Linked DNA regions of Arabidopsis thaliana. The protein of the gene in region 2 interacts with the protein of the main gene of each other region in a biochemical or structural test. Each region holds a gene or a part of one and is shown on either strand. Other genes may lie near its edges. The genes, in order: NAC046, RCD1, AS1 and BBX8.

Region 1 (4,400 bases), on a different chromosome or scaffold from region 2:
TAATATGATATTTTGGAAATTACTATCCATTATTTTTTATATGTAAATACCCAGACAATTGGAATGTAATGGACAATATAGACAAATAGACAGTTAAGTTAGTTGGAGTTTAGGCGTCATATCGTTGAAACTTTTTATATATAGCACCCAGAGAATTTTATTCTAATTTTTTTTAATAATTACCAACTATCTTTATTGGCACAAACCCCAACTAGTAGTCATCATATCCAGAAAACCCAACGTGTATTTTCGCTCATTAAATCCCCAACTTTTAATATACTCCCTTCGATAAATACTGAATTTATATTTATCGTATTGTTTGTTCAGTTTCATAGGCAATGAGCCAATGACTCGAAAGTCAGATAATTTATGAATTGTAGAAATTGTTGATAATAGGACTAAATTTTTAAAAATCTACAGCGGCAGTTTATAATTGACAATCATGTTTTTCATTTGAAATATGGACAGTCATCTGAGAATATTTTTGTGTTCAATCAGCACAAATATACAAATTTTAATCTATAATTTCAAAAATTAAATTAGGACGCTTTGATTTGGTATTTTTTCCTAGTTAATCTTTGCAGGCGGTGGTTTCTTTGACCTTTTTATTAAACACATGATTATGCCGACATTAATAAAAAAAAGAGAGAATATGTTCTTATTACGGTGAATTTACTCATTGAAACTATGACTTCAAAAATATAATATTATAATAAGTTATAGTATATATGTTCTTATTACTTATGGTATATATAAAAGTTAACATTGATATTTAACTCTGTTTAAATATAAGTATAATTTGATCATTGTGTTTTGACATAATATTTTTCTCCATTGATATGAATTCTAAAATAATAAACATATATTTATTTATATACCAATAATAAAATTGAAGATTACGTCACACTACCACCAATTGGTTGATAATTTACACTATTTTATTCCTTCAGCTTAACTGGTAAGGTTAAGAAACACACCACAAATGGTTGCTAAACTCTTAGGGTCGTTTGATAAATGTCTAATCAAGCTACAAAGTACGATCACATATATAATTTAGATTATATATATTATCCATTAAACCACATCCAAATAAATATCCGAACTGAGAACTCATTGAACCACACCCATAGGCATAGCTATATGTACTGCATATCAATTTTATGTGATCGATTTTATCATTTACTCTCGTATATAAACCTTCATAGAAACTTAAAATTTCAAGTTTAACAAAATGAACATTAACATACAAATTCTTTTGAGGTTTTCATTAGGGATTCCTTTCAGTAGGATAATAAAATTAAATAGTAATAAAATTTTAAAAGGGACATATTTTCAACAATATGGGTCCACATAACACGAAGAGGAGCCAAACCTTTTAACACTTTTGAGTGGTATATTTTCCTTCAAACGTTTTTTCTGCCATACGACTCTTTATTTTCTTTCCAAAAGAGGTTATTTTCAAAAGGTAGATGAAGGTCATGTGGCTATCGAACCCATTTTTTTCTGGTGGTTGGCTAAGGAACCCCATAAGATGACTATACTGACATAGTCCTATGTAATGTACAAGGAAAAAATAAACTAACCCTCATATGGAACATAAAATTATTCGACAGACGTGTCACCCTATGGATCTAAAATTTAATGGTAGGATCTAAAATCTAAAATATGAAAATTTGTGGAAAATTCCATAACCATCCCAATAAATTAATTGTTACATATAGCAATATTTTATTAATTAAAATACAGTTTTTATTTGACACTAAGAAGAAAAATAATATTTAGCTTATCTTGAATTATATATATAAATTGCTTATTACCCTGAATTTCATACAGATATGAGATATCATTTAAGATATTTTTGAGTGTTTTCTAATTGTGGGGCTTTTTCAACAAGTAAGGAAGTTGCTTAGAGCTTACGTGTCTCTTCTACATCACCAAAAAAATAAGAAAAAAACAAAACATAAAGAAAAGAAACATTATTGTTTTTTTTAGCTCTTATCTTCCTCTATATAAAGACATTTTTTTTCTACCTTCACATACTTTTATTTTCATTTCCTTTAACTGCATAGTTCTTCCTCAAATTGCTCATACCTTTGCTTCTCTTTCTTTCTTTATTCAACCTCTTATTTCTTCTTCAGCACCAACGTGTATCTGCAGTAAACACATATCCATCGATCGATCTCCTCAAAAAGTTATTGTTTTCTTGAAGGATTTTTCTTGTTCTTGATCAAGCATACATATATATAGATGGTGGAAGAAGGCGGCGTAGTTGTGAATCAAGGAGGAGATCAGGAGGTGGTGGATTTGCCTCCGGGGTTTCGGTTTCACCCTACTGATGAAGAGATAATAACTCACTACCTCAAAGAGAAGGTCTTCAACATCCGATTTACCGCGGCAGCGATTGGTCAAGCCGACCTCAACAAGAACGAGCCATGGGATCTACCAAGTAAGTCAAGTCAAGATCGTTTTTTATTTTGACCATTTCAAACATCATCATCGATCAAGATTCTGATTCTTGATTTGAGTGCAGAGATTGCAAAGATGGGGGAGAAGGAGTTTTACTTTTTCTGCCAGAGGGATCGGAAGTATCCGACCGGGATGAGGACGAACCGTGCGACCGTGTCTGGTTATTGGAAGGCGACCGGGAAGGACAAGGAGATCTTTAGAGGCAAAGGTTGTCTTGTTGGGATGAAGAAAACACTTGTTTTCTATACAGGAAGAGCTCCTAAAGGTGAAAAGACCAATTGGGTTATGCATGAATATCGTCTTGATGGAAAATATTCTTATCATAACCTCCCCAAAACCGCAAGGGTATGTCAAAGTTTACCACTCTTTTTGCAAAAATATGATTCGGTTTAATAAAATAGATCCGAGTTTGATGCATACAAAATTTGTTTGTTGAGAAATGTTTATCTATAGTTCGTTTTTTTTATATATGCCTTAGTTCAAGAATAATCCAAAACATGAAACTTAATTAGGAACTTAATTAATTAGTAATCTAAATGCTAAATTTTTTTTTGTTTGTGTGATGGTTATAGGATGAATGGGTGGTGTGTAGGGTTTTTCACAAGAACGCTCCTAGTACTACAATCACTACTACAAAACAACTCTCAAGGATTGATTCTCTTGATAACATTGATCATCTCTTAGACTTCTCATCTCTCCCTCCTCTCATAGATCCGGGTTTCTTGGGTCAACCCGGCCCAAGCTTCTCCGGTGCCCGTCAACAACACGATCTCAAACCTGTTCTCCACCATCCTACAACCGCACCAGTCGACAACACTTACCTTCCTACCCAAGCTCTCAATTTCCCTTACCACTCGGTCCATAATTCCGGATCTGATTTCGGCTACGGGGCAGGTTCAGGCAATAATAACAAAGGTATGATCAAGTTGGAGCATTCTCTTGTGAGTGTGTCTCAAGAAACCGGTTTGAGTTCCGATGTGAACACAACCGCAACGCCAGAGATATCTTCTTATCCAATGATGATGAATCCGGCAATGATGGATGGTAGCAAGTCAGCGTGTGATGGTCTTGATGACTTGATCTTCTGGGAAGATTTATATACTAGCTAAATTTGGGAAAAGGTTATTTGTTAATTGTGATTGAAGAGTGGCATATTGATTACTCGTCTAGTGTTTTTAATCGTGTAATTAGTTCGTATATAATATACATGTACATAAGATCATTAGGTTTATTAGGCATTGGACTTTAGTTCGGTGATTGCTTACCTAGTTTTTAGCTTGAGAAAAAAGGCTGTCATTGGGGTTATGTTTCTTTGTGATTAACTTGTACATATATACATTTAAATTATTCGTATGGTTTATTTCGTTTAAATTAGTCTCTCATTAATCTTCTAATGAAATGCAATAACACATATATATGTATACTTAATGGTCACCGATTCTTGGTCAACATTAACAAGACAAGATAGTGATTAATTAGTGAATCTTTTGTCATTTATATATCAAACTCTTTTTCTAATGCCGGGGTCTTTTCTATGAGTTGGGAAATTCCGGTTCGAAACGCGAGACTCCTGCATGCTCATGCATAGTATGGTTCCTTTGTAAAATCTCAAGTAACGAGCAATAAGTTATACTATATCACTTCTCGAGCAATAACTATAAGTAATATGAAAATTTGGCATCTCAGTATCTTAGGTTATGTTGTTAACTTGTTATTAATTTGTACGATTACGTTTTTTTTGTTTTTTTCATTCAGTACATAAAATGGAAAATATTGACCTATATAATCTGAATAAAATGAACACAGCTCACGAAACATGTGATTTGTTCCCTGAATCTGAAGCCTTTTCATATGGCTAATAAATTAGTTTATTAAGACACAAATTAATTAAATAACTTAAATTTTTGAGAAAGATTCTAAGTAAGGGCAGTAAT
Region 2 (6,931 bases):
AGTCTTGGTTCTATAGAAGACAAAAGATGTTTCTATTCCGATCTTGGAACATTTGAAGGATCGTTTGTTGTTGATAGGAACTTCCTGTCTACCGGCTTTGCCATTGTGGATTATGTCGAAAACACGAGTATATACCGGCTCTCCATGGAGTCTCTGATTCCCAATCACGCCATAAATCATTGAGGATTGCTTGGGTCACTAGCTTACAGAGCGTCGAGGCTAGACAATGTACATATAAGCTCATTAAAGGTAGATGAGAGCCCCGAATCTTGTAAAGGTAGTGAGCTGTCATAGTTGTAGTACGAAGTCCAAGTGAAAGATACATGGCTCCAATCCTCTGTAATATGCAAGAGTTAGGCTCATCATCAATTCCTCGGTTTTAAATTCGTTTAAAGCTAAAATGCCGACTCACAACACAAACAAAAAGGAATAAAATAATGCTTCAGATTATAACCATGAAAAGAAAACAGCCAGAACCATTGTACTTTTGGGTGAACCACTCGGATCAGATTCCAAATCGCTGTTATAGAGAAAGAGATCCCAAACTGACCGTTTACTCTACTCCACAGAGACTCCATAAAATCGAACTGATTGGACCTAGAATATCGAGATATCCACTAGCTTCTCATCGTCAGAGGCCAAGCTTACTCAGTGCGCATCATATAGAGCTCTAAAGGGGAGGAGAGGACCAACACTATTTTCTCCTGGTATTCCTCTAGTCTTGATTTACCCGTAGTACACAAGTGTCAAAGGAACCCAGAGGTGACCAGTTATCATACTCTTAAATAATCCTTCACACAAATGTGAGGCATCTAATAAAGCTAACAGAATAATGAGAAAAAGTATAGTGAAGAAAAGTTTCACGCGATAGGCTTAACGACCAAATTTTCGTCAAGATTCAACGACTTCCACAACAATGTTTTGCTTGCAGCTAAAGAAACAAAGACCCAACGACATCATTGACTAAGTAGAATCATATAATATAGTACGATTTTTCACGACAGAAAGAAAAGTCGACACATTTTAAACTCTACCAACGACCCGACCCAAAACCAAAAGTCTAAAATTAGAAAAAGTCAAAAGGAGAACCACAAAGGCAGGTAGATAGATAAAAAGCAGCTTCCTTTTGATATTCGTCATCATCATCATCCACTTTACTTACAATCCACCTGCACCTTCTTCATGGTCTCTGATGCTTCCTGGAATCTCCTTCGACTTTGGCTGAAGTTAAAACCAAAAAACCTTTGTTGAGCATTTCCGTTTACAAAGTAAACTTATGATCAACAACAATATCTCTACTACTACTATCTTACCTGGTTTTGAAGGGTTGTTATGGTGGACCTTAGCAGATCATCTCCTACAATCACCCGCAGTTTCCTGACAAACTCCGCTCTCGTCATCTTCTTATCCTGCACAACAAATTTCTTATGTATTCCAGCTTATGCAATTACCAATCATAAAGCAAACTCTCAGAATCAGTTTTTTTCTATACCCTCAGTTGTTGGTAGTCAGCATTGATCAACAACATGTCGTTCTCTGCAACCTTATGTGAGATTGCTGCAAACAGAGTAGGAAATGGCATCCATGGAGATTTGGGTCTTGTAGTGCTTGAACCAACACTGTTTGCACTTCCTGAACCTCTTGCTCCCTGCTTTTTAAACACAACAACACCACATATAGTTGTTCAGTCCCTCTTCTTTAATAAGATCATACAAAGAAAAACTGAAGTAACCAAACTCACGTTTGACTCCAATTGAGGAGGAAGATCCTTAGGTCCTTCCAAAGTGACCCCTGAGTTATCACGCTTAGCAATCAAATTACCTGCAGAAACCAGTGTATGTCATCGGACTTCTAATACTACACAAAACATAATTTTGATGGATCGAAATACCCATTAAGGCGTGAGTATCACATCCGACCCCCGGATGATGAATCAGAGACTTGTCTCTTGAAACCCAAATGTGTTATAACACCGGAGGTCGTTAGGTTTATCATTATCACACATGGAACTTTTTTTTCTAAATTTATCAGTTGAGACCTGAGCTTCAGCCAGATCTCTAAGCTGTCTCCCTTTCAATGCGTCATCAGTTGATTTGAATGGGGGAAGATAGAATGTGAGGAACAAAAAAAAGAACAAACTAATCACCTTCAGCATTGGGGAGATTAGACAGCTTGAACCTAACAACAAATTCCGGGAATATATGTGTGTTCATATTGATGTTCCAGACAATGTAATTCTTTGGACTCTCAATGTCATCGACTCCATTGTCATATTCTTCTCCACCAGAAAAGAACTGAGCTTTATCACCACGAAGAAGCTCCATATTCCCCATAATCACACGGCATAAAACCATGTAACGTACTCCGTTTTCGTCAACATCACAGTATCTAGCACTGTAAACAAGTTCATAGTTAGTACTTGACACACAAAGAACCTATTGCAGAGGAAGGTAAAATATACGATCTAAACATGAAAAAAACAGATGAATACGAGGCAAATACCTGAAATAAGGGCAGTCTGCAGCGGTTAAATGGATCCCAACACCATAGATGGACTTTCTGATAAATGCTCCACCAACTCCAAGTCCTTGCATCATCACTGCTGATAAAACTTCCCTCTTTGCAGGAAGCCAGGCATACCTAACGTTTGCATCCCCTCGATGTTTCTTAGTGATCTCAACCTGCTTCTGGAAAAGTGCTAGACGAGCTTCAGCAATCTCACTGGAAAAACGGCCCACATCCAGCACTGGTACATGTCCTAGAGAAGCTGTGCCTACAGCAAACATTTTTTTTACTGCATCTTTATCAAGTACTTCGCTTCCCGTAAGCTTGGCACCAGAGACGACTATAGCATCAGTCTCATCCCATTTCGAAACAGCAGCTTCGAGCTTGCGGCTGCAGCTATCCTCCGTAGCCTCGTCATAGTGCTCATTTGAAGATCGTTGAGCAAGGGGAACATCGTCCATCATATTATCACCAGACTCATCACTGCACTCCTCCAAATTTAACCTCGGTGTCTCGCCACCATTAACATCAATCTCTAGGCGAAGTTTGATATCATGAGGAGCATTCTGTTTTGGGTCTTCCACACATTTATGATGGCAGTAATTGGTCCTTTCATCACTCTCATAAATTTCAGGGAAAAAGCACTTTCCTGCATTGTCAATCCATGCAAGAGGGGTTTTTGCTCCTGTTTCCATGTCTAGTCTTTGCATGTGCAAGAAGTCCAAAATAAAACTGTGACCGCATAACTTGAACTCAATTGCGGCGCTCTTTTCTTCTAATTCATTCTGGATGGCGCATATAACGTGCTCAGGCAAATCATTCCATTCGCCATTCTCATACATCATAACACGTTTAGCGATTCCAGTCTTCTTAAAATAAGTGTAATATCTGACCAGCGCCTTCCCAGAGCGATTCTCGTAAGCGCTAAGCTTGTTTTCACCTTCCAGCCTTCTTCTTTTGTCAGGAATTTGGCACTGCCCGTTCGGTGGGGGCACATTTTGCAGCTTTGCACACGAAACTCCAGTAACATATGCAGCATAGCTTGCTGCGCGCTTCCTCTTTTTTCCGAATCCATCTTCACACCTACTACTATCCAACACCTTGACGATCTTGGCTTCCATTTCTATATATTAACAATACTAAACCTATAACCTTGATAGAAAAAGTCAACTGTGTAACCTCTAAACTCCCTAGCAGTCCTAAAGATAGTGTCTTGCCGACAGCATTAGAAAACACTGCACAAAAGAAATGGAAAAGGCTTAAAATATTGAACAACTATATTACAGAGAATAGAGTCAAACAAAAACTCCTCACAGTTTACATGATAAAGAATCAGTAAACAAGAAAGAATCAGCATAACTATATGAGACCTATGATCCTGTAATATCATTCCTTCACAAAAGACATTTGCTACAATTTCCATCAGTAAGTAACATTATGAACAGTCTTTCATTACTTCTTGTTGTATCTTGTGTTATAAAGAGCACAAAGATCCATTACAAAGACGGAAGGTACAAATCAACCTACATAGGAATGAAGCAATAAGAAATGAACATCACACTCAACAAGAACGATCCTATGAGACACTAAAGATAAACACAGAAACAAACCAACAAAAACAAGTAAACCCAATCACCAACACAGAAAAATGAGAACAATAAACCCAAGCCATGAGCTTGAAACTCACCCAACAGTAACAGTTAGAGTCTGATAGATTACAAGTGTGTTCATCTTCTCCGTCATAAAAATAAACACAATCAGAGAAGAAATGCCACGTCTTTTTATAACAGCCGTCAGCAAGATAAAGTTCCTGCAACATCCAAACCAGCAACTTTTTAGCTTTCAATAAAAATTAAAATTCATCTCTCAAGTCAAAATAGCTCTGTTGCTTCACAAAATCCACAAATCGAACCAAATCAATCGCAGTTTCACTGATTTTCAAAATAAACTAAAATCAGAGACGAAAAAACACAGATCGTAAGCATAATCACACGAATCATCCAAAAACTCAATCAAAACAACACAAAACCACTCAAAATCAAACGAATCTAAGCCGATCTACAATCATCGACTTCAACAAAAAAAAACAATTCAAGATAAAAAAAAAAATCCTCAAATCGCATGAGAAGAATTGAAACAAAACGAAAAGAAACTGAACATGAACATGAACATGACGGACCTCTTTTTTCAGATCGATCGCAGGCAACAAGGGTAATCTAAAAGCAAAAGCTGACCAGAAAAAACGGAGGAAAAGGAGAAGATAAGATTTGCTTATAGAGAAAACCCTAAGCCGGCGATGACGACGAAGAAGAAACAGAATCGAAGAGTCATTTATATATAATCGGCGATATTGGAGAGATGATGAAGAAGAAATTCTTAAGTCGGCGGTTCCTGAGTTTTTTTCCTCTTTCTCTAACCAAAAATTTGCTTGGACGAAAAGCAAATCATGTGGGCTTTATTAAAGCTACAAGTCGGTCAGTCAACGTCGAAATCTTATTGGGTGGTGACTTAATTGAAGAGGCGGTCAATACACGCAGATAGATATGGTCGAATACAATAATGGAATAATATTATCATGAGGAGAACAAAAATATTACAATTAAATGTAACGAGGGCAACAATTATAAAATTGTTGAAATTAGAAAAGTGTGTATTGACGGAACATGATTGATAAGATTGTGAATCGATGAATAGACTAGGGGGGCCATTGGAATGGAGATAGCTATCGACATTGAAAAATATTTTCTTTATTGCGTACAAGGTCTAACAAAGTTTTAGTTGTATTGCAAGTGGCAAATAAAATTTTATTAGTTGAGGATAGTTTAGAAGTTTTTGAAAATATTATTTTACAAAGTTATAAGAATATTTAATCAATTTTTAAAAACTTTCTCCAGAAAAATGTTTGTTAACAAAAAATAATTTTCATTATTTCGATAGCCGTTATTTAAATTTGCCGCGATTATTTTTAATGGTTTTTATTTTTTCTGTTTCATTGCCGCGTTTATTTGTAATGATTTTTATTTTTCCGTTTTTCTATAAACAATACTACAATAGCATAAATTTTGAAGTGATATATGGTTTATAAGGGTAAGAATATTTAATCATTTTCAATACAGATAACTTTCAAAATTAGACATACTAAATGAGATATAAAAAATTCCATTGATATACTTCCAATAATTATCACATTTCTAAACTAGCAAAATTTATTTTATTTTAAAACATAGAAGATACGCATAATAGTCAATGAACTATTGACTTGGAAAAGATATCACCTTGGATATTAAGTCTGGACTTTTTGCGTAGTTTTCTTATAAAAAAACTATCAAAATTAAATTTCTACAATTATTCATTGAAAACACAATCTTTGGAAAAGGCTATAATTTGAAAACAATATTTGGAATTGGCTAATTTGAGGATGGATAAATAACATTTCGATTGGCTTAAGAAAGAACACTAGATCGATATCTCTTGGAGAGAGTTAGAACTCTTTTGATGTCTAGACGGATGAAGAATACTTAGTTGATAAATTGTACCTCGCAATTTTTTTCAACTTTGTTTTATAATGGGCCAGTTTTTATTTTTTGGGCTTTAGACAGCATATTAAGATGGACCGGCCGTGACTACGGGTTTAGTTGGTACCGAAAACGGCTGTCTTCCCAATCTTGTAAGATCTATAAAATTCAAGACTAAACTTTTATCATATACACGTTTGTACTATTCGGTGGAAAACCAAAGGATCTATATATACATGCATTCATGGGAATATTATTCTGTGTATGATATGTCACAGCTATATAGTTTGTGTAGCCATGGCTCATATTGAATAATGAAAATGTCACAACTATATAGTTTGTGTAGCCATGGCTCATATTGAATAATGAATATGTCACAACTATATAGTTTTTATATCTCTTATTTTTCTAGAATTTACCAACCTACGATTAGGCCTGTTACGGATCCGGATATCCGGGTTTTTTGGAGTATCCGGATCCGTATCCGTATCCGGCGGATATGTAGTTTTAGGATCCGCATCCGGATCCGTAAACCTCGGATATCCGGATTTCGAATATCCGTGAAAAAACTGGATATCCGCGGATATTCGGGATCCGTTTATTTTTGGGAACAAATTCAATTTCCTATTTCACCAACCAGATTGAATTCACCACCAAAAGAGATCGACGTGTGCCCGACATCAGACTTTGCAAGGCACATACCACCAAGATCTCGTCTTTAACGGTGTCCAATCTGCTCCTCCTCATTCATCTCCGCCGTCGACACTTTGAATCCCATGTATCATCATTCCCGTAAGTAAACTTCCGTCCATAAATTTACGACGGTGGAACCGAGATGAATATGGTGGGGAGACGGTGATGGAGATTAGATGGAGATGAGATGGAGATAGTGAAGGAAATGGTGATGGAGA
Region 3 (5,236 bases), on a different chromosome or scaffold from region 2:
TTCTCTTTTTTTTTACTGTCTTTGCTCTGTTTCACATTCCCTTCTATATATACAGTATAGTATATTTTATCCTTCTTTTATTGTTTTGCTTACTAAAAGTTTTTTTCCTCCGGAATCAAAATTCTAAAATGTATATCATGTTAGGTCGCGAGGGCCATGCAATATTATGAACTATGCATGATGATTAATGTCTGTGGATCCATCACAAATATTATTGAAGGTTGATCAGAGACTATGGACCAAAATGGTCCGAATCGCCTGATAATAAAAAACTATTCATTTTTATTTTTTATTTTTTTTATTAAACATGTGATTAATGATAGATCTTACGATTCGCAACTGGGAAACATGCACTAACTCAAACTTAAAACACACAATACTAAAAGTTCTATTAAATTTTGAATGTAAAGAGAAATATATTAGGCAATCAAACGGTCAAGTAAATCATACACATCGATAATTTATTTTTTTATCCTTCAAAGCAGGCCCATCCAAGGCCCACCACTATTCTCATATCAACATACTTTTCTTGTTTTGGTTAAATCAACCTACCATGTTGGCTGTTCTCTCCGCTCCTCTGTGTAAGATCACACCAACACCACTGCATAATTTCTTGTATTATTTTGAGACTTGAGAGTAAACTGATTGACAAAAAAAAAAAAAAAAAAAAAAAATTGAGAGTAAACTAGTTTCTTGAATATTGATTTTTTCAGCTTAATTTGTTGGGGAAAGATATTACTACTATTGCTGTAAAAAAAAAAAAAAAAAAAAAAGATATTATTACTATATTTGTAGTGATTTTATTTTGAAAATTCTCTTCACTTTTTTGTAGTTAACATTCTAATTTTGTGAAAAGAACTTTTAATGTCAGGTCATGTCTCTTAAAAAGTTTGCATGATGAAATGATTTACAAATTACAATAGAAAATGGAAACCATTGCAAACTAAATTTTTATCAAAAAAAATCGAAAATAAAATGTATTGACTTAGTAATGCTGTGTCTGCTACGATTAACTATTACACATAATGCAACACTGAATTATCCAAATACATTATTAGAATAATAGTATTACAGTATCACTATTACAACAACAATGTCAACAATAATCTTATTATAATAATATATAAATAGACCTTAGTGACATCATATTATATAGAAAACATGTGGTTGCCTAATTTGTATAAGCTAGATACTTGGGGGTGATGAGTGACTAGTTGATGCAATGATAAAAGAGTGAAAGTTTTGTCTGCCTGATTATAGACGTCGGAGAAATACTAAAATACGCTATGAAGATTTTGGCGCATGGTAGCAGAAAAAAAAAACGGAGGGTGTGAGTGAGTAGTGGTAGTCGGATGTGATGGAACAAAGAAAAGTATTTTTGGTAGGGTTATGGGAGAGAGAAGGGGACCATTATTACACACTTACATGCTTTCCCCAAAAGATACCATTCCCATTTTCTGACACGTGTCCCCCTCATCCCCAATTACTCATACGTCAAATCCAATTTTTAGCCTAAAAGTTTTTTTTATTTGTTTAGCCAAATCTATTTTACTAATTAAAGTTTTCAAATGGCAAATAGAAAGATCTTCTAAGGTTTTATAAAATTACTTGATTATTTCTAGTTTTGCTCATTTTTTAAATAAAATTTCTCTTTTTTTTCTTGCAACATTATTGATTTTTTTTTTGATAGGGAGTAACATTAGTGATGTTCTATCTCTTCTCATTGCAAAAACTTTATTTTCTCATCTCTATTTGATCATCATTGCGAAATCTTCCATTTTCAACAAATACTTTTCCATGTTAATATGCTGTTTCAAAATATAAGTGTTTGGAAAATAAATCAACAAGTTTAAATGTTAACTATTTTTATGCTATTATAATTATTTTTCTTATGGGTAAGTGGAAATTAATGTTACTCAAATTGGACATAAAATTCTATTGTTTGAGTGAAGGAGTTTATAAATGGAGCATTATTTTCTTGAATGGTTAGTTTTTCTTCTATCATTTTGACAAGTAAATGACTTTTCAGCCACTAAAGTACAACACTTTTTCATTTAAATTTAAAGCATCCCCTACATTAGATTGTCATTTTATTTCTCATAATGTTATAGAAAAATGAATTTTGAGATCCCAATGTAGTAAATATATATAAAAAAAGGTTTAATATTGTCAATGACAAACAACGAACTTATGGAATTTCAACTTTTCACCTCCACGCGCCTCTGTCAGAGTTTTTTTTTTCCCCACTTGTGATGTAAAAAGGGGAAAACGTCTGTGTCTCAGTCGGTAAACTTTTTCTCTCTTTTTTTTTTTAAAGATTTTATTTTAATTATGCCGTCTCTGTGGTCTAATCGTGTACGTCGTCTGGTTTTAAAAGCCTCTCTCACTTTGGTCTTTTCGTTTTCTCTCTTCCATTTTCTCCAACTATATAAAAAAAAAAAAGTGAGAGAGAGAGCAAATCTGTGTGATGGAAGTTGCTCTTGAGTTTGGGATTATTTATCTTTTCAATATCATTTGGTAAGCATTTTTATTTTGTTTTATAGTAATAATTTTAACTCTCTTATCTTCTTAATAAGTCTTTGCTTAATAGTGTTTTGGGGTCAGCATTAATTTCCCCTGTTTGGTTTCCAGAATATAGGTTGTATAGTGTGATAATAACAAATTATTCCAAGTTTTGCTTCAAACATTGTCAAAGTTTTTGTCATTTTCATTTCTTGAAACGGAAATTTTTCAGACTTTGTAATTTCTAATTCGAAAATTCGACAGATCTTGTAGATTTGTTTCGATCTTTTAGAGTTTTGAATTGGAGAGATTTATGAAACGGGTTGATTTTGAATTTGGTACAGATGAAGAAGGATGGTGAGATGGGAAGAAGTGATGTCAGGAGGAGTAGGAGATGAAAGAGAGACAACGTTGGAGTGGTGAAGAAGATGCATTGTTACGTGCTTACGTTAGACAGTTCGGTCCGAGAGAATGGCATCTTGTGTCTGAGCGTATGAACAAACCTTTGAACCGTGACGCCAAGTCTTGTTTAGAGAGATGGAAGAATTATCTTAAGCCAGGGATCAAGAAAGGGTCTTTGACAGAGGAAGAGCAGAGGCTTGTGATCCGTCTTCAGGAGAAACACGGCAACAAGTGGAAGAAGATTGCTGCTGAGGTTCCCGGGAGGACGGCAAAGCGGTTAGGGAAGTGGTGGGAAGTGTTTAAGGAGAAGCAACAGAGAGAAGAGAAAGAGAGTAACAAGAGAGTTGAGCCTATTGACGAGAGTAAGTACGATCGGATTCTCGAGAGTTTCGCTGAGAAGCTTGTCAAAGAGCGGTCTAACGTTGTCCCTGCTGCTGCCGCTGCTGCAACGGTTGTGATGGCTAATTCGAATGGAGGGTTTTTACATTCTGAACAACAAGTTCAGCCTCCTAACCCAGTGATCCCGCCTTGGTTAGCTACTTCTAACAATGGGAACAATGTTGTTGCAAGGCCTCCCTCGGTAACTTTGACATTATCGCCTTCCACAGTGGCTGCAGCTGCGCCTCAACCGCCAATCCCGTGGCTGCAGCAGCAACAGCCTGAGAGAGCAGAGAACGGTCCAGGGGGACTTGTGTTAGGGAGTATGATGCCGTCTTGTAGTGGGAGTAGCGAGAGTGTGTTCTTGTCAGAGCTTGTGGAGTGTTGTAGAGAGTTGGAGGAAGGGCACCGAGCTTGGGCAGACCATAAGAAAGAGGCTGCATGGAGGCTAAGAAGGCTGGAGCTGCAGCTAGAGTCAGAGAAGACGTGTAGACAAAGGGAGAAGATGGAGGAGATTGAGGCAAAGATGAAAGCTCTTAGGGAAGAGCAGAAGAACGCAATGGAGAAGATCGAAGGAGAGTACAGAGAACAGCTCGTTGGTTTGAGGCGAGACGCAGAGGCCAAAGACCAGAAACTGGCTGATCAATGGACCTCTAGGCATATCAGACTCACCAAGTTTCTTGAACAACAAATGGGTTGCAGATTAGACCGCCCCTGAACCGTCTCCTAAACTCTTTGTTGTAACTTGTAATGTAATGTAAGGTTTTTTTTTTGTTTTTTTTTGTTTTTTTTTGTCTTTGATCATTTGGGTGTCTCCAATGTTTACTTAGACTTTTGGGTTCCTTACCTCAGCTTTGTATTTGTTTCTTTTACCTTTGTGTTCCATTTATCACTTCAGTTTATCCATGGCTTTGTTTTCTCAAGCTTGATGTTGATTTAGTCAGCTGCAACACTTTGGTTTATAAATAAAATCGATTTATATCTTTACATGTGTAAATTCAAGTAGAAGACAGAAAACAAATTGTTACATAATAATTGAAAAATTGAAGAGGAAGAGGTGTGTACTTATTCACTCAAAAACACAGTTGCATTAGATTTTAAACCATACTACAAACAGATTACCATAAATCCATGAAAATGTATTTGGCATGAATTTCAAAACATAAGAGAACAAAAACAAAGAGCAGAATAACGGAAGATTAAAAACCCGGCTTGAGAAATGGTCGGAAAAACCCTGGCGGTGCTTCTTCTCTGAAAAATGATCAACTTTGAACTCAGAAGCACTTCCTGTGAACAATCGATGGACCTGACTCGTCATACTCTGCCTTTGCGATCCACATCTGCACAAGGTAACACATAGTTTCAGAATTGAACCAGTTTAGTTAAGCTGAGAGTGATTAGGATTTAGTTTAGGTCTGTTTAGAGTAAACAAGTGATGGGACTGTGTGTACCTGCTGGAAGGTACTGAGGGAGGCCAAGATGGACCCTCCAATCCAGACAGAGTATTTCCTCTCTGGAGGGGCAACGACTTTGATCTTCATGCTGCTTGGAGCCAAAGCAGTGATCTCTTTGCTCATTCTGTCGGCGATTCCAGGGAACATTGTGGTTCCACCACTGAGCACAATGTTACCGTACAAGTCCTTCCTGATGTCGACATCACACTTCATTATGGAGTTATAGGTGGTTTCATGGATACCAGCATTCTCCATACCAATCATAGATGGCTGGTAAAGAACCTCAGGACAACGGAATCGCTCTGATCCAATGGTGATCACTTGCCCATCAGGTAGCTCGTAGTTCTTCTCAACAGATGAGCTGGTTTTGGCTGTCTCGAGTTCCTGCTCGTAGTCAAGAGCAATGTAGCAAAGCTTCTCCTTTATGTCTCTGACAATTTCACGCTCTGCTGTGGTGGTGAAAGAGTAACCACGCTCGGTTAGGATCTTCATCAGCGCAT
Region 4 (5,292 bases), on a different chromosome or scaffold from region 2:
TTTTACAATAGAGGAAGATCAACATTTTGGCAAAATTCTTATGCAAAAAAATAAGAACAAAGTGTTTGTCATTCTTTTAGTTGATTAGTTTTTTTTTAACTTTGAACCCATTGAGGTTTGTAATAAAGATGTTGTCATTTCGAATGCCGTCTATCGGAAGCCAACCTACGGCATTTGCTGCAAAAATAACGGACAATCCAAAGACCGTGGCACAACTCAAGTCGGCTGCATCGCCTTCACCTCATAGTACCGTGACGTGCGGTTACCAAGCTCATGTGGCAGGGTTCTTTCGAAACGTCACCGTTTTATGGTCCAAGAATCTCATGAATCATTCCCTCACCGTAATGGTGTCGAGTTTAGACAATGACATGAATTATTGTTGTAAGATTGATCTCGTGAAGCCATGGCAGTTTTGGAGCAAAAGAGGGTCAAAGTCATTCGACGTAGAGGGAAACTTTGTGGAGGTCTTTTGGGATCTTCGATCAGCAAAATTGGCTGGAAACGGTAGCCCCGAACCCGTGTCAGACTATTACGTGGCAGTAGTTTCTGATGAAGAGGTTGTTTTATTGTTGGGAGATTTAAAGCAAAAGGCTTATAAGCGGACCAAGTCAAGACCGGCATTGGTGGAAGGGTTCATATACTTTAAAAAAGAAAGCATATTTGGGAAGAAAACGTTTTCGACTCGGGCAAGGTTTGACGAACAAAGAAAGGAACATGAAGTGGTGGTGGAGAGCTCTAATGGAGCAGCGGAGCCAGAGATGTGGATAAGCGTTGATGGGATCGTGGTTGTGAACGTGAAGAATCTACAATGGAAATTTAGGGGAAACCAAATGGTGATGGTGGATAGAACACCGGTAATGGTCTACTATGATGTTCATGATTGGTTGTTTGCAAGTTCGGAGACTGCAGCGAGTTCAGGGTTGTTTTTGTTTAAGCCTGTTCCGGTTGGAGCGATGGTAGATGAGAGCTTTAGCGATGCGGAGGAAGGAGATAGCGGAGGAGGGAGTAGTCCTTTGAGTCGTTATAATTCAGCATCAAGTGGTTTTGGACCATTGCATGACTTTTGTTTGTTTCTTTATGCTTGGAAACTTGAATGAAGACTATTAATATCATAGTGTGTGTGTTTTTATTTAAATCTCTTTTGGTGATTAAGTTGGAATAGAATTAGAAATTAACAATTTAGTCTACCTTAGTTTGGTCCCAAATACCAACTAAACGATTGCTCAAGAGTTAGGACAATCAGATATTTGCAAACAAAAAGTTTGTATTAGTTTAACCATACTTTTTGTTAATCGAATAACCATAAGAAAATTTGGTAAGTTTCTTATGGATATGAGTTAGTTTTCTTTAGCTAGGCCATTATATATATAAGTCTATTTATTTACAAATTCAATTAAAAACAATTAGCTTATTTAGTTATCAATTAAAGCTGTTTTTTATTTTAAAAAATTAGCCTATTAAGGTTTTGACTTTTTAAAAAAAATACATGAAGCAAAAAAAGAATGAAAAGTCTTTAAAAAATGAAATACTTGACACTAGCATTGTGACTATCTAGTGTACATAGTTTCAAATTAAAAGTTTTCAACTCAAATTAATGTACTAATATTTTGTCAAATTGAATAATATAAGTAAGAGTGGACACCGACCTGCGCGTGTCAGTGTTACAGATACACAAATATCTTTTTTTGTGTAGACGTTTCCAATTTGCCAGATATTATATTTGATCTTTCTCTTTCTTTTCACCTACAAAAATAATATCTCCTTTTTTAGGCAAGATATTTTGTTCATTCATGTGCGTCTCTCAAATTAAGATATTTTGGTTTTTTGTAAAGTCAAAGCAAAGACTATTGTTGTGATTGGGCTTTTAAGCCTTAAAGCATCTAAAAGAAGACGCTTTTGAGAATCCAGAATCGGAAAAGTTCCACTTGTGCCTTGTAGATCGCGAGTACGGCTCTTTGTCTACACGCGAGCGCGTGACTTCATACTCATAAAAATATCTTTAGGGTCCTTAGAAAATGGGTTCTTTTGAACTTTTTACCCAATGTTTCTAGAATTATCAGCTTATGTCACATGCCTCTGCCTACATGTCCCTTTGCAGACACAACCCACCCATTGTCTATCCATCTGTTTCTCCTTTTACCCTTCTTCACACGCAGCTAAAGAAGAAATTTGTGGAATCATCGCTTATTCGTTTCAAAAGTCATTCATTTTTGGTGTCTCTGCTTCAGAAGATACTTGACGATCTCTCCTACGTGAGCTCTTTAAAACCCTTGTCTTGTTATTTTAGTGAGGGTTGCTTTGATTCTCAATCCTTTTTGACTGATCTTGAAATGGATCTTCTTTCACTTCTCTCGGATTTGTAATAAGAAATCTATAATTTTTTAGCTCACTTCTCTGATTGGTACATGTTGATCTGAAATTTGAAGTCTTTCTGCGATGTTAATTGGTTTCTCTGATGTCTCTTTTGATTGGTCTTTGATTTAGAACAGTCTCATCCATAGGAAGTTACAATCTTTGAGGAAGAGATGTTTAAAAAGATTGGACTTTTATCTAATTCTGGACTTGCTTTCGATACCAAGTTTCAAGCTTTTGTTAGTTGTTTAATGTATTGTGGTAAGTTTTTTTCCTTCTAAGATTATGATATAAGGGACTAACCAAAATGGTTTGATTCTTTGTTAGTGAAAGGAGCTTGCTTTCTTCAGTGTGACGGTTGAGATTGGTTGAAAGATGGGTTATATGTGTGATTTCTGTGGTGAACAAAGATCAATGGTGTATTGTCGATCTGATGCAGCGTGTTTGTGTCTTTCGTGTGACCGTAATGTTCATTCTGCTAATGCTCTATCGAAACGTCATTCGCGGACTTTGGTATGTGAGAGGTGTAATGCACAGCCAGCTTCTGTCCGGTGTAGTGATGAGAGGGTTTCTCTATGTCAAAACTGTGATTGGTCAGGCCATGACGGCAAGAATTCTACTACTACTTCACATCATAAAAGGCAAACCATCAATTGTTATTCTGGTTGTCCCTCGAGTGCCGAATTATCCTCGATATGGTCTTTCTGTATGGATTTGAATATCTCTTCTGCTGAAGAATCCGCTTGTGAGCAAGGAATGGGTTTGATGACTATAGATGAAGATGGCACAGGAGAAAAATCTGGTGTCCAAAAAATTAATGTAGAACAGCCTGAAACCAGTTCGGCTGCACAAGGTATGGATCACTCTAGTGTTCCAGAAAATTCATCAATGGCTAAGGTATTTTAACATGATTTTCTTCATATTGTGGTAAGATCTTGAAAGCAACTAGCGTCTAAATGTTTCTTATTATTGTACTGGTTGTAGGAGCTTGGAGTATGTGAGGATGACTTCAATGGAAATCTCATTTCAGATGAAGTAGACTTGGCTCTTGAGAACTATGAAGAACTCTTTGGTTCAGCCTTCAACTCATCAAGATATCTCTTCGAGCACGGTGGAATTGGAAGTCTTTTCGAGAAAGATGAAGCTCATGAGGTTTTGTCAACCTTCTTCTTCTATCTGAGACTAGTATCACTAAAGTTAAGGATGATTTTTTTCTGTGATCCTTATGCTCTTTTGTGTGTTTTCTCAATTCAGGGCTCAATGCAGCAGCCAGCATTAAGCAATAATGCATCTGCAGATTCGTTCATGACTTGTAGAACCGAGCCAATAATTTGCTATTCATCAAAGCCAGCACATTCGAATATCTCCTTCTCTGGCATCACTGGAGAAAGTAATGCTGGAGATTTCCAAGATTGTGGGGCGTCATCGATGAAGCAGCTTTCAAGGGAGCCACAACCATGGTGCCATCCAACAGCACAGGACATTATTGCTTCCTCACATGCAACAACACGTAATAACGCTGTTATGCGTTACAAGGAAAAGAAGAAGGCTCGCAAGTAAGTATAAACGCACACAGAAAGGAATTTAATTCATCATTGAAAGTTGTTATAGCTAATATTTAACATATTTTGTATAAATAGGTTTGACAAGCGAGTAAGGTATGTCTCTAGGAAAGAAAGGGCTGATGTGAGACGGCGTGTGAAAGGACGGTTTGTCAAGTCCGGTGAAGCTTATGATTACGACCCGATGAGCCCAACAAGAAGCTACTGAGGATAAAACCTCAAAACAATGAAAGATCACAAAGTGGAGATATAAGACAGAGATGCAACTAATTGGCAGCGATGGATCTGGAAGCCATTATTGGTTGAAAAGGAACACGAGTTCTCCGCCTCAAAAGCGTCATACTTGCTTAGAAAGGCGCATGCTTCTGCAGTTCTGCCTCATTTTTTGCATAAAGTTTGTTATCTTCTTCTGTCATTTGGCATCATGACTTGACTGTGAAACTAGAAACTCTTCTACAGATTCAGGTTCATGATCCTTAAATTTTGTCCTATTATAATTTGTGTAGCCAAGGCAAAACAACGAATGTATATTTTTTTTACGTCATATAAATAATAACCATGTAGAAGTTTGGAGTATCATCACTTCTATATTTACGGTATTGGTTAATGATACTAACAAGTGTATTTTCTAAAAGCGTAACCACAAGAATCACAACCTTTCAGGATCCTTTTGCACTATCAAAAAACTGAATTCATTCATATTGATCAGACAAAATTTGCATGATACAAAGGCAAAATTAAAGTTTGCTCGTTTAACTACTAGTTTAAACTCTTCAGTCTTCATAACTTTCATCTCCTGACAAACCGGCAAAATCATCTCCCTCGCTTGTTTCCTGCGGACAATTCAATTTTAAGTTTCAGATCAAAGAGTATAAATCAGTATGCAAGCTATGTGATTCCAGATTTGTGGATAAGAATGAAGAGATACCTGTTTCTTGTCCCAGTCCTTCAGTTTTGGGTTTGCTAACATGTAATTATCTCGTAGAGGAGCCCAAACAGGAGCTTCGTCTTCAGATTTGTGAGCCTGCACCATCCAACAGAATATCACTAGTTAACTAACCAACAATACTTTAGACTTATAACTAACGGCTCTCGCTACTGAAGGTGATCCTTTCTCTATAGAAGCCAGCTCAAGACAGAATACTAACTTGCTTCTATGTTCATCCAAAGTTGAAGGCTTTAAGAACATTCAAAATTGTTACTAGTAATTTACTAAGAATACTTCTGATTTATAACTAACATCTATCACTCACTCATGAGGTGATTCTTTTCGTGACTCTCTATAGGAGCTAGATCAAGACAGAATACTAACTTGTTTCTACGTGCATCAAACGGCTAAGGAATAAACTCTCAAGATAAATCATAATGAAAGAGAGAG

What was found.
Region 1: the proteins of RCD1 (region 2) and NAC046 form a complex in vitro, tested with the Arabidopsis thaliana proteins (one study listed by BioGRID).
Region 3: the proteins of RCD1 (region 2) and AS1 form a complex in vitro, tested with the Arabidopsis thaliana proteins (one study listed by BioGRID).
Region 4: the proteins of RCD1 (region 2) and BBX8 form a complex in vitro, tested with the Arabidopsis thaliana proteins (one study listed by BioGRID).

Annotation. Positions count from the first base shown.
Region 1 is NC_003074.8:1,052,800-1,057,199, reverse strand, and holds NAC046 (NAC domain containing protein 46), read left to right. Parts: upstream 1-2,003; 5' UTR 2,004-2,247; coding exon 2,248-2,446; intron 2,447-2,530; coding exon 2,531-2,811; intron 2,812-3,038; coding exon 3,039-3,575; 3' UTR 3,576-3,840; downstream 3,841-4,400. UniProt on the Arabidopsis thaliana protein: Transcriptional activator that acts as a positive regulator of leaf senescence. Activates NYC1, SGR1, SGR2 and PAO, which are genes involved in chlorophyll catabolic processes. Activates senescence-associated genes, such as RNS1, SAG12 and SAG13.
Region 2 is NC_003070.9:11,610,122-11,617,052, reverse strand, and holds RCD1 (WWE protein-protein interaction domain protein family), read right to left. Parts: upstream 4,936-6,931; 5' UTR 4,685-4,935; intron 4,316-4,684; 5' UTR 4,193-4,315; exon of another isoform or gene 3,741-4,192; 5' UTR 3,627-3,740; coding exon 2,503-3,626; intron 2,395-2,502; coding exon 2,147-2,394; intron 1,822-2,146; coding exon 1,742-1,821; intron 1,652-1,741; coding exon 1,493-1,651; intron 1,410-1,492; coding exon 1,314-1,409; coding exon of another isoform or gene 1,305-1,313; exon of another isoform or gene 1,222-1,304; coding exon 1,159-1,221; 3' UTR 835-1,158; downstream 1-834. Other genes in the region: AT1G32225 (uncharacterized protein), read right to left, coding at 6,764-6,931. UniProt on the Arabidopsis thaliana protein: Inactive ADP-ribosyltransferase that functions with SRO1 to regulate oxidative stress, hormonal and developmental responses. Required for embryogenesis, vegetative and reproductive development, and abiotic stress responses.
Region 3 is NC_003071.7:15,780,562-15,785,797, reverse strand, and holds AS1 (myb-like HTH transcriptional regulator family protein), read left to right. Parts: upstream 1-2,317; 5' UTR 2,318-2,517; intron 2,518-2,846; 5' UTR 2,847-2,896; coding exon 2,897-4,000; 3' UTR 4,001-4,556; downstream 4,557-5,236. Other genes in the region: ACT1 (actin 1), read right to left, coding at 4,557-4,622, 4,734-5,236.
Region 4 is NC_003076.8:19,560,549-19,565,840, reverse strand, and holds BBX8 (B-box type zinc finger protein with CCT domain-containing protein), read left to right. Parts: upstream 1-2,008; 5' UTR 2,009-2,252; intron 2,253-2,679; 5' UTR 2,680-2,727; coding exon 2,728-3,249; intron 3,250-3,336; coding exon 3,337-3,504; intron 3,505-3,606; coding exon 3,607-3,908; intron 3,909-3,992; coding exon 3,993-4,122; 3' UTR 4,123-4,522; downstream 4,523-5,292. Other genes in the region: AT5G48270 (DUF868 family protein (DUF868)), read left to right, coding at 129-1,097; AT5G48240 (Rrp15p protein), read right to left, coding at 4,688-4,747, 4,843-4,938, 5,014-5,068, 5,164-5,249.